2 linked regions of the Schizosaccharomyces pombe genome follow. The protein of the gene in region 2 interacts with the protein of the main gene of each other region in a biochemical or structural test. Each region holds a gene or a part of one and is shown on either strand. Other genes may lie near its edges.

Region 1 (3,693 bases), 960 kb from region 2:
CAACTGCTGGCGCTGATCTCGTCAATTCCATTTTTTAAATGCGAGTTCGTTTCTTTCCTTTTTCTATGCTTTTTTTCTTCCTTTATATAAGTAAAACTTTCTGTGTGGTTGAACTAGCACCTGTGTTTGTTATCGTTGGTGCGCAGTTGTTTTTTATTTTGAAATTTCCAAGTAGAAATTTCCGTATATCGCGAATGCATTTCCCTTGTTCATGTTTACTCCTTTGGTCTTTTGTCTTTTTCTCGACTATGCTTTATGCTTATAAAGCAACACCGCGGCATAGCTGCTTCTTCATAGATTGAGACACCTCATTTATGTGTATGAATTCGATATCCAAACATTGTTGCATATTCTTTATGATTATCGATGCGTACTATTAAATACGCATGTCTCTTGACTTTTGTTTATTTTTAGTGTTTTTCTTTTTACGACTTTCATACCGTTTATATTTTAATTCCATAATAAAAAAAATAAATTACAAAGCAAAAATATGATTAATAGGGAACGAATGACAGTGTATTAGATTTGTTAATATGCTATGGTAAATTGTTCTATTGCTTAACGTATATTAAAGCAAAAAATAGTAAACGGATGAGGAAGTATAAATTAGGTAGCCTTTGTTAGAGATTTAATTACGATGTCCGGTCAGAATCGTTTCCATTAAGCAATAAAAAAGAATCGACGTGGAAATCCCATGAATGTAAAGACTCACATTATTAAAATGGGAAGATAAAGTAAAAACTGGAGACAGCGAATGTCCAACAAAAATGGAAGATGTATGAATAATGATGAATCAAATTCGGTAACACGTTGATGGGGATTCCAAGAGAAAGTAGCAGAATTTCAAAAAAAAAAGAGAACGACAATAAAAATGAACCTTTGTTTAAAAATAAAAGAAGTCAACACACAATAAAGAATAATGAGACTATGAACAGAAATGAAACTCAAGGGAGAATTGTTATAAAAAGCGTCTGAAAGCACTGGGGAATGAATGAAAGGACTAAATTTGTTTTAATTTTTTTTCTTTTTTGTTGTAAAAATGGAAAACATGAAAATAAGTATGCAAGTTCAAATATAATAGCTGTATAGTTAGGATGAAAATTTCCTATAACAGCGGTTTAATTAATAAAAATTAATGCTCGAAAGAGAATTTCTTTCAATTTTTATGTGGTGTTCATATTCCCCTTCGGCATTAGTCATTCAGGATCGAAGAAAATTAAGCTAATTTAAGCAGTTGCTTAGCGAGAGGTGTTGTTTACACGGTCGGTGATGTCAAAAGTCTCGTTAGGTCGAGGAACATGAAATAGGTCCAGGATGGTTAGTTCGTTAGTGAGGTCTGAGGGAGAAAGAACTCTTTGGACAGGCTTAATCCTATAAACCTTTTCAGTCTGAATATTTTCTTTATTTTCATGTTCAATGCGTTGTGCAGGGGTTCGGCGAACACGTTTAGTGCGTTTCATGGGAACGCTATGTACCGATCCAGCTTTGGTAGAACGGCCGCGTTTGCTTGTAGAGCTGATGAAAGTGGTACCGGCATGGTCAACAGTTTTGGTGTTAGTGTTAGTACTGGAGCTTCCAGTACTAGTTCTGGGAGAAGTTGAGCGTCTTGCCGTATTGGTGCGATTTGGTAAAGCAGAAGCGCTGCTTGCTGGGTGACGGCTGTTGGAGGTGTTTTGAGAGCTCATTGTTAGAAGTAGAAAGTGATTGTAAAAGTAGAATATAGTTTGATGTGAATTAGATAATAGAAAGAATAAGAGGATAAGAAAATGGATGCAGAAATGAGCGACTAAGCACTCATACTTATACTAACGCAGCACATTTCTTTCAAACCCATGGCTCACGGAGGTTTTTCAATTTCGTGTAAAGTATTTGATATTTGCAAATGAAACAAAAAAAACTATTAAACAAATAAAAGATTATTTTTTTGTATACAATCACAGTACAGAAAGTGAAAATGCAAAATTTAGAAAATGATAGTAAAGACCAAATGAGAAGTAAGAAACAAGTATATTTTATGTTTTCAAATGAACTACTACTATTATATTTTCTACTCTTCATTTCCAGCTTTTAATGCTTGCGAAGTGGCATGCTACGCGGCGCGACACGCTTTTCATTTAGAGAGCAGCGTAAACAAATCAAACTCGTGTTAAGTTTCGATATCATTCGTTAGATTTCCTTAAAAAATAACTCAGGCTAAACAACATTGAATTGAATAACGCAAAAAACAGTATTACAGTAATGTGTTTTTAGAGATTGCTACATTCCACAATGCAAGCTTACCACTTTGCTTTCGTGCTCGCTCAATCATTGCATGAAAGGTAGATATATCCAGCTAGGTGTTCTTCGTATTTGCGAGTAGAGTAATTAGCAGTGCACATTTATAGTATGCAAGTTAACGATTTCTTTAGTACTTCTCTATTGACGATCATGCGTTCATCTAACAGAATGGGCACATTCCAAATGTAATAGTGAACAGGAAACTTAAATTACTATACTATACTTGACATTTTACACATCGTTTTTAGAATCAAGCAACGGGATTAAAAGAGAAATCAATTCATTGTCAACTATAATTTATAACATTAGCAAACAATATCTGGACGAGCAAAGAATGGGATCCCAGACACGATTGTATGCTGTATAAACTGGGCTTCAAAAGATCGTAAAAGGTATCAGATACCACATAAAGTCAATTATAAAAAGATTAGGGAATGCCTTTGGTACCTAATCTTTTTTAGCATAGCCAACACACTCCGTAACGTCGACAGCGTCTTTGCGGTGTTTATTGCGAATGACACCCTCAAATTCTTTAGTTTCAGTCTTATATATCAAATCCCATCTGCCGATGAAATCGAATCCATTGACATTGCGAACCTTGGCTTGATATCCTCTACGTTCTTCAGGACTCATATTAACATATTTATGATATTCAGGAGCACCAGGTGTTATAATATTATCGGCCACTAGAAGGGTTCCCGGAGCAATCATATTAAGTGATTCAATAACCCTCAAGTCAGGCACATAAAGGTCCTTCCAGTGGTCGATAAATACCATGTCCAAAGCTTGAAAACCAAGGTCTTTATGCAATAATTTCTGTTGCAGTTCGACCAAACTGTCGCAAGCCTTGCCAATCATGATGGTGACTATTTCATCCAGACCGGCCAACTTAACCAACTCGTAAGCAATCTTGGCATAATCCTCATTCACTTCCAAGCTGTAATAACGACCACCAGGAATTTTGGAGATTTCATTTCCAAACAAAATAGCTGAGTAGCCCAAATAGCCGCCTAACTCAACCATGATTTTCGGCTTCCGTTCACGAATTTTCCCAACGATAAATCCACCTTTAACATCTCCTATACACATTCTCACTCCAGATCCGTCTGGATACGTGAATTCATCGATTTCCTTAAGAACCAACTCAGGATGCCCGCGAATCGCATCCAAGCGCTCTTGAGGCAGATTTTGAATGTGTTGCAGAAACAGCTGTTCCTTTTCACTACCGTTGTCTTCCATATGAGGCATGATTTCAAATTTCGAAAGGTTGGTTAAAAGTTGATTTTCAGCTCTGCATACGCAATACCATGCACTTTATATAGTTACGAGGGATGGAATGTTGCTGAATTCGATGCACCTCGTATGTTGTCACTACGCCACGCATCTTTACAAACTACCCACCGTATCATAGGACAT
Region 2 (4,822 bases):
TCACGCCCTATTAGAGTAAAAAACACTGCCAAAAATTTTATACTATCAAAAAAACGCCATTTTTGTGTACTGCAAGAATCATTACGGTATTTGTAAATTAGCTTCCAAAACGGTTAAACTCTATTAACAAAACACACAGATAACCTCTGTGTACAGCCTAATAAAATTCTCGACCTAGTTCAACTTTCCTATGCCTATCTAAGCTTAACGAATTTTAGAAGCATTGGTTTTTTAAAATATAGCGTTATCTAAAACAGAAAAACTGTATCATCTATTAATGCAACCTAAAGTAAAAAACTATATACATATAAATTTATGAATTTTGTTACAATGTTTACTACATACACTTTACATTCAGTGGAAATTCGTGTAAAGATAATAAATAACAAAGTTTAGTAAAATTTGTCCCCTTACAGGAAACTTATAATTGTATTATTGCTATAATTTAATTGCATCTTCAAACCTAGTTTTCTAATTTCTTTCTCTATCATCCTTTACTAAAATATATCTTTACTTAACTTAACAATATCTTTATTTTTGAAAATATTGTCCAAAAAATATTCTATATACACAACGATATTTGATATAATAATTGCTTAAAAATATCAGTAAAAATATTGTAATATTAGAATTTACAAGAAGATATCTATAAATTTAATTTAATATTTTAACTTTTAACAATATTATTACAAGTTATGAATAATATCCTTCTATCTTCGTATTCCAAAAGCTTAGTTTGCTTTATCTCTTCAACATTTCGAGTATAGCGGTGATACAATATGACTGCATGCTTCATGCTCTAAACTCTTTAAATTTACTATTACAACCGTCGTTAAAACGATCCATTCGTCTACCTTTTCTTTTTTTTTTTTTTAAGTATATATTTATAAAAAAATTTTTGTTTTAAAGAACAAACCACAAGCAAAAAAAATTCATCAATGTTGTTAACAGAAAAAGATAATGCTACCATCATAATAAACATATAAAAAAGAAGAAATATAAGTATAAAACAAGTGCATAAAATGTTAGCTATTTACACAATGTTAAAATTCAAATCCCGAGAAATAATTATTGGGGCAGTCAAAGCCCTCTATAATGTTTTGCAGTAACCCTGAACAAAACAACGTGCGGTAGCGAATATAAAAAAGAAGCAAGTAACTTTAGAGCGATTTTCGAGATGGATCTACGGCATCAGCAGCACGACCAACTGGTGCAGGATGCAAAACGAATCCAGTAAAAGGTATGGGAGTCAGCGGAGGTTGATTAGGATAACCGAAAATTTTTGCATTATTCGGATAGGGTGTGGGTGTAATAGGCATATATGAGTTAGCATTGTTATGGACAGCTGCTGCCGCCGCTGCGGCAGAAGGCCAGAATGATTCGGTTGCATGAATAGGTGCTGTAAGAGGTGTAGTCGGATCTACTTTAAGTGAAGAATTTGGTGTAAGGACTTGTAAGGAGACAGGGATCGTTGGAGTAGCACAATGATTCCAATTACTTACAAACTGGGGAGTCGGAGGCCAGGGAAAGCCAATGTTTTGAGTCGGCATATAGCCTTGATGAGGGTAACCTTGAATTCCTTGTTGCAAATTCATTTGTTGCTGTTGTTGTTGTTGTTGGTATGCGAGATAACGAGATGAAACAAGGGGAGCAGGTCGTAAACGTCGTGTAAGGTTCTTACAGTTTGATACTAGCGTGGAAAGTTCGGGTAATGTGATTCGGGTTTTGGGATTCCTATCAAAAATTCGATTGAGTAGAGAATTGAGCTCTCTACTGATGGGTAAAATGGATAAAAGGGTTGATGGATTGTGAACGTAGGAACGGTAAGTACCATCAGTTTGAGAACATGCACGCTTCCAAGGGTTCCTCTTACAACACAGATTAATTAATATAATTCCCAGAGCCCAGACGTCATTTGGCGCTGTAGCAAAGCTGGATGATTGTGATTCTATAGGTTCAGGAGTTACCGGTAGCATATCTGACAGCGAACTAAGTTTTTTCACCTCCCGTTGACATTCTGGAGACATGTAAAACAGACTACCACATCCAAAGTCACTTGAATAGGGTTCTGTAGTAGCCAGACCAAAATCAGCTAAGTATACGGTGTTTACATCATTTCCAACCATAATGTTTTCGGGTTTAAGATCTCGATGATATATGCCAACTGAGTGACAATGTTCAACAGCAGAAATAAGCTGTAAAAAAACGGTTTTAATTAAATGACTATTCCCTTGATATACCTTTTTCTCCGTGATGTAAGTAAAAAGGTCGCCATTCGGACAATACTGGAGAACGACATAAATGGCGTCTTCCGTTTCTAACACGCGGTGCAATGTAATAATATAAGGATGTGAAGAAACACGAGCATGTAAGGCAAGTTCGCGAGCTTGTAACTTCTTCTGCTTTTCATTTAAGCCATCCTTACATAAAGCCTTTACTGCATACAAGGTACCGTCGTAAATGTCTTCTGCTTTGTACACGACACCATAAGCACCGGCACCGATGATAGAAACAAATCGTAAAGAATCACCCAAGACCTGACCCAAAAGGAGTTCTGGATTTTCGCGCATCATCTAATGTTTAGTAAAGATAAATTAAATAAAGTCCCAATTGATGGCGAAAATTAGATAAGAAAATAGAAAATAAGTATTTCGGATGATAAAGTTTTGAATAGCTTAAAGAACTTTGCAACCGAAACAAAAAAAAAACTTTGAGAAAGGTTAGATTTTCTAATGTCTTCTAAAATCAATGATAAAAAAAACAAAGATCGTTATAAACAGGAAAATAGTCAATAACACAATGATAGGTTTTATCTTGATCGTTTGAGGTTTAATAATATAAGGGAATTTACAAGAAAAAAATTTTTTTTTCAATTGTAAGCAGGTAAAAAATACGACAACGAAGAATGAAAAAGAGAATCGAATACGCCAATCACAGAGAAAACGACCAACATGCAAGAAACAAAATTAATAAAGAAAAGGGGAAATGCAATTGTGGAAGGAAGAGTTAAAACGAATAATATATAATGTTTATGATTAAAAAGCACAGGTCCTTTTGAGTACAACGAATGGAAGTGAGAAGGGAATGTGAATAAAAAACCGGGAAAAATGATGATTAGTATTTTAAGCAGGGAATAAAAAGTAAGAATGCTCAAGATAATCAAAGGAAACTCTAAAGATCAACGTACAAACAAGACACACAACGATTTTCCAAAGGAACAGTAAGAGAAATCGGGAAAATGTACAGGTCAGTAGTCGGTTAAAGATGGGGGAGAAAAGTAGAATTAATTTTTACCTAGTAGTATATCCTTTCCAAATTGAGGTAAAAATGAGAATAGAATGTTCGGTTTAAAAAGAAGAGAGGGGATGAGAAGGAAACACAATCGACAATCAACGCTTGCGAGTAAGTCAATAGACTTAGGTGGAAGAGTTGGACTGGGGAAAAAAGAGATGAGTTCACCTAATGTCAATAAGTATGCACAGCAATATGGATTTGTGAATGTAAAATGAAAAAATCGAGTAATTAAGAAAAGCCGAGAGAAGAGAATTCTTGAAAAGTATTTTCATCAAGCACAAAGGAATTTACAAGAAATCGTTCAGGGTAATTCCCATTTACATTGGGGAAAAGCAGAGAAGTAGTAAGTTTGGATATGGAAAGAAGTATCTATCTCTAATCGAAGAGGCTAGGGGAAAGAACAAAGAAAGGAAAAGCAGACGCGAACAAGAACCAAAGACGAAAGTGAAAAAGAATAAATAAATAAAACAAAAAAAAAATAATAAATTAAAAAAGAGGAAAAGGAAACGCGACTCAAATATGACTAATGCTCGTCGCGATGAGAAATAGTGATTTCTTTGTTAGAAAAACGAGTAAGATGGAAACTTTTAGACACGGGAGATGATAAGAATCCAAGAGGAAGAAGGGAAAACAAATGTAAAAGAAAACGAGGATGGTGGAAGGGAGGATATTAGTAAGAATAAAAAATGGTGGTTAAAGAAAAAATAAAATCCAAATTCGACAATTCAACGTTTGTTTATAGAATTTCGAAGTTTTTAATTAAAAAAAAAATAAAATAAAAAAAATAAGAATACAATCCAAACTTGTGTAGAATGAATAAAAGATAAATTTTTTAATTTTGGTTCGATTTCTAATCAGATAAAAGTAGTGTTTTCTTTATTGCTTTAACACAGTAGACAGCCGAACAACCTGAGTAAGAGTAATCGCGTTAATGACCAGGGGATATGAAAGCTGAAATCGAAATTCTGGAATTGTGGTTAATCACCCACAGGATCCAGCAAGCAAGAACGCTTTTCTAGCTTGCCAAGAAGAAAGGAGCAAGTGCAGAGATGAATTGTTGATAGCAGCGAGAATGCAAATGGGGAAGGGAACGTGAATTGTGAAAGTAGAGTAAAAAAAAAAGGAAAGCAAAGCAAAGTCCAGGCGAAAAGATCTGGAATATGATGATCGGGAAGAAGGCAACGGTTCTTCAAGAGAAGAGACGAAAAGAAAAGGAAAAGAAAATGCAATTCAGTAACTCTTTATTGACTGAGCAAAATTAGTAATATGAATTGAATTTGGATGAATCGTAAAATGGAGAAAGGATCCAACCTTCTAATATATTGCACGTTGTCGCTACGTGGCCAAGTTGCTGTAATTAGCAGTTTTGATTATGAGGTGTATGGAGGTGCAACACAAATAAGTAGTGCGGAAGTGTAGCTAGCTACGAATTCGTTAGTAGGGGAAGGCGTGAGGTTTGAGGTAGAACAAAGAAACTTGAAAATCGGCCACAATGAGATAACTTTCGGTAAGGGCAAGTAGGGGAAGG

The links. Proteins that work in one complex are often made in the same cells at the same time.
Region 1: of the proteins of pat1 (region 2) and mei3, one has a biochemical effect on the other in vitro, tested with the Schizosaccharomyces pombe proteins (one study listed by BioGRID).

Annotation. Positions count from the first base shown.
Region 1 is NC_003423.3:717,798-721,490, reverse strand, and holds mei3 (protein Mei3), read right to left. Parts: upstream 1,773-3,693; 5' UTR 1,686-1,772; coding exon 1,239-1,685; 3' UTR 501-1,238; downstream 1-500. Other genes in the region: lsb1 (SH3 domain-containing protein), read left to right, coding at 1-38; cmt1 (catechol O-methyltransferase 1), read right to left, coding at 2,725-3,525. UniProt on the Schizosaccharomyces pombe protein: Acts as a critical meiotic inducer by binding non-covalently to protein kinase ran1/pat1 inhibiting its enzymatic activity. Inhibits ran1/pat1 by acting as a pseudosubstrate for ran1/pat1 instead of its natural substrate ste11.
Region 2 is NC_003423.3:1,680,612-1,685,433, reverse strand, and holds pat1 (serine/threonine protein kinase Ran1/Pat1), read right to left. Parts: upstream 2,574-4,822; coding exon 1,161-2,573; 3' UTR 879-1,160; downstream 1-878. UniProt on the Schizosaccharomyces pombe protein: This protein is a negative regulator of both sexual conjugation and meiosis. It phosphorylates mei2. It blocks the onset of meiosis until conjugation takes place.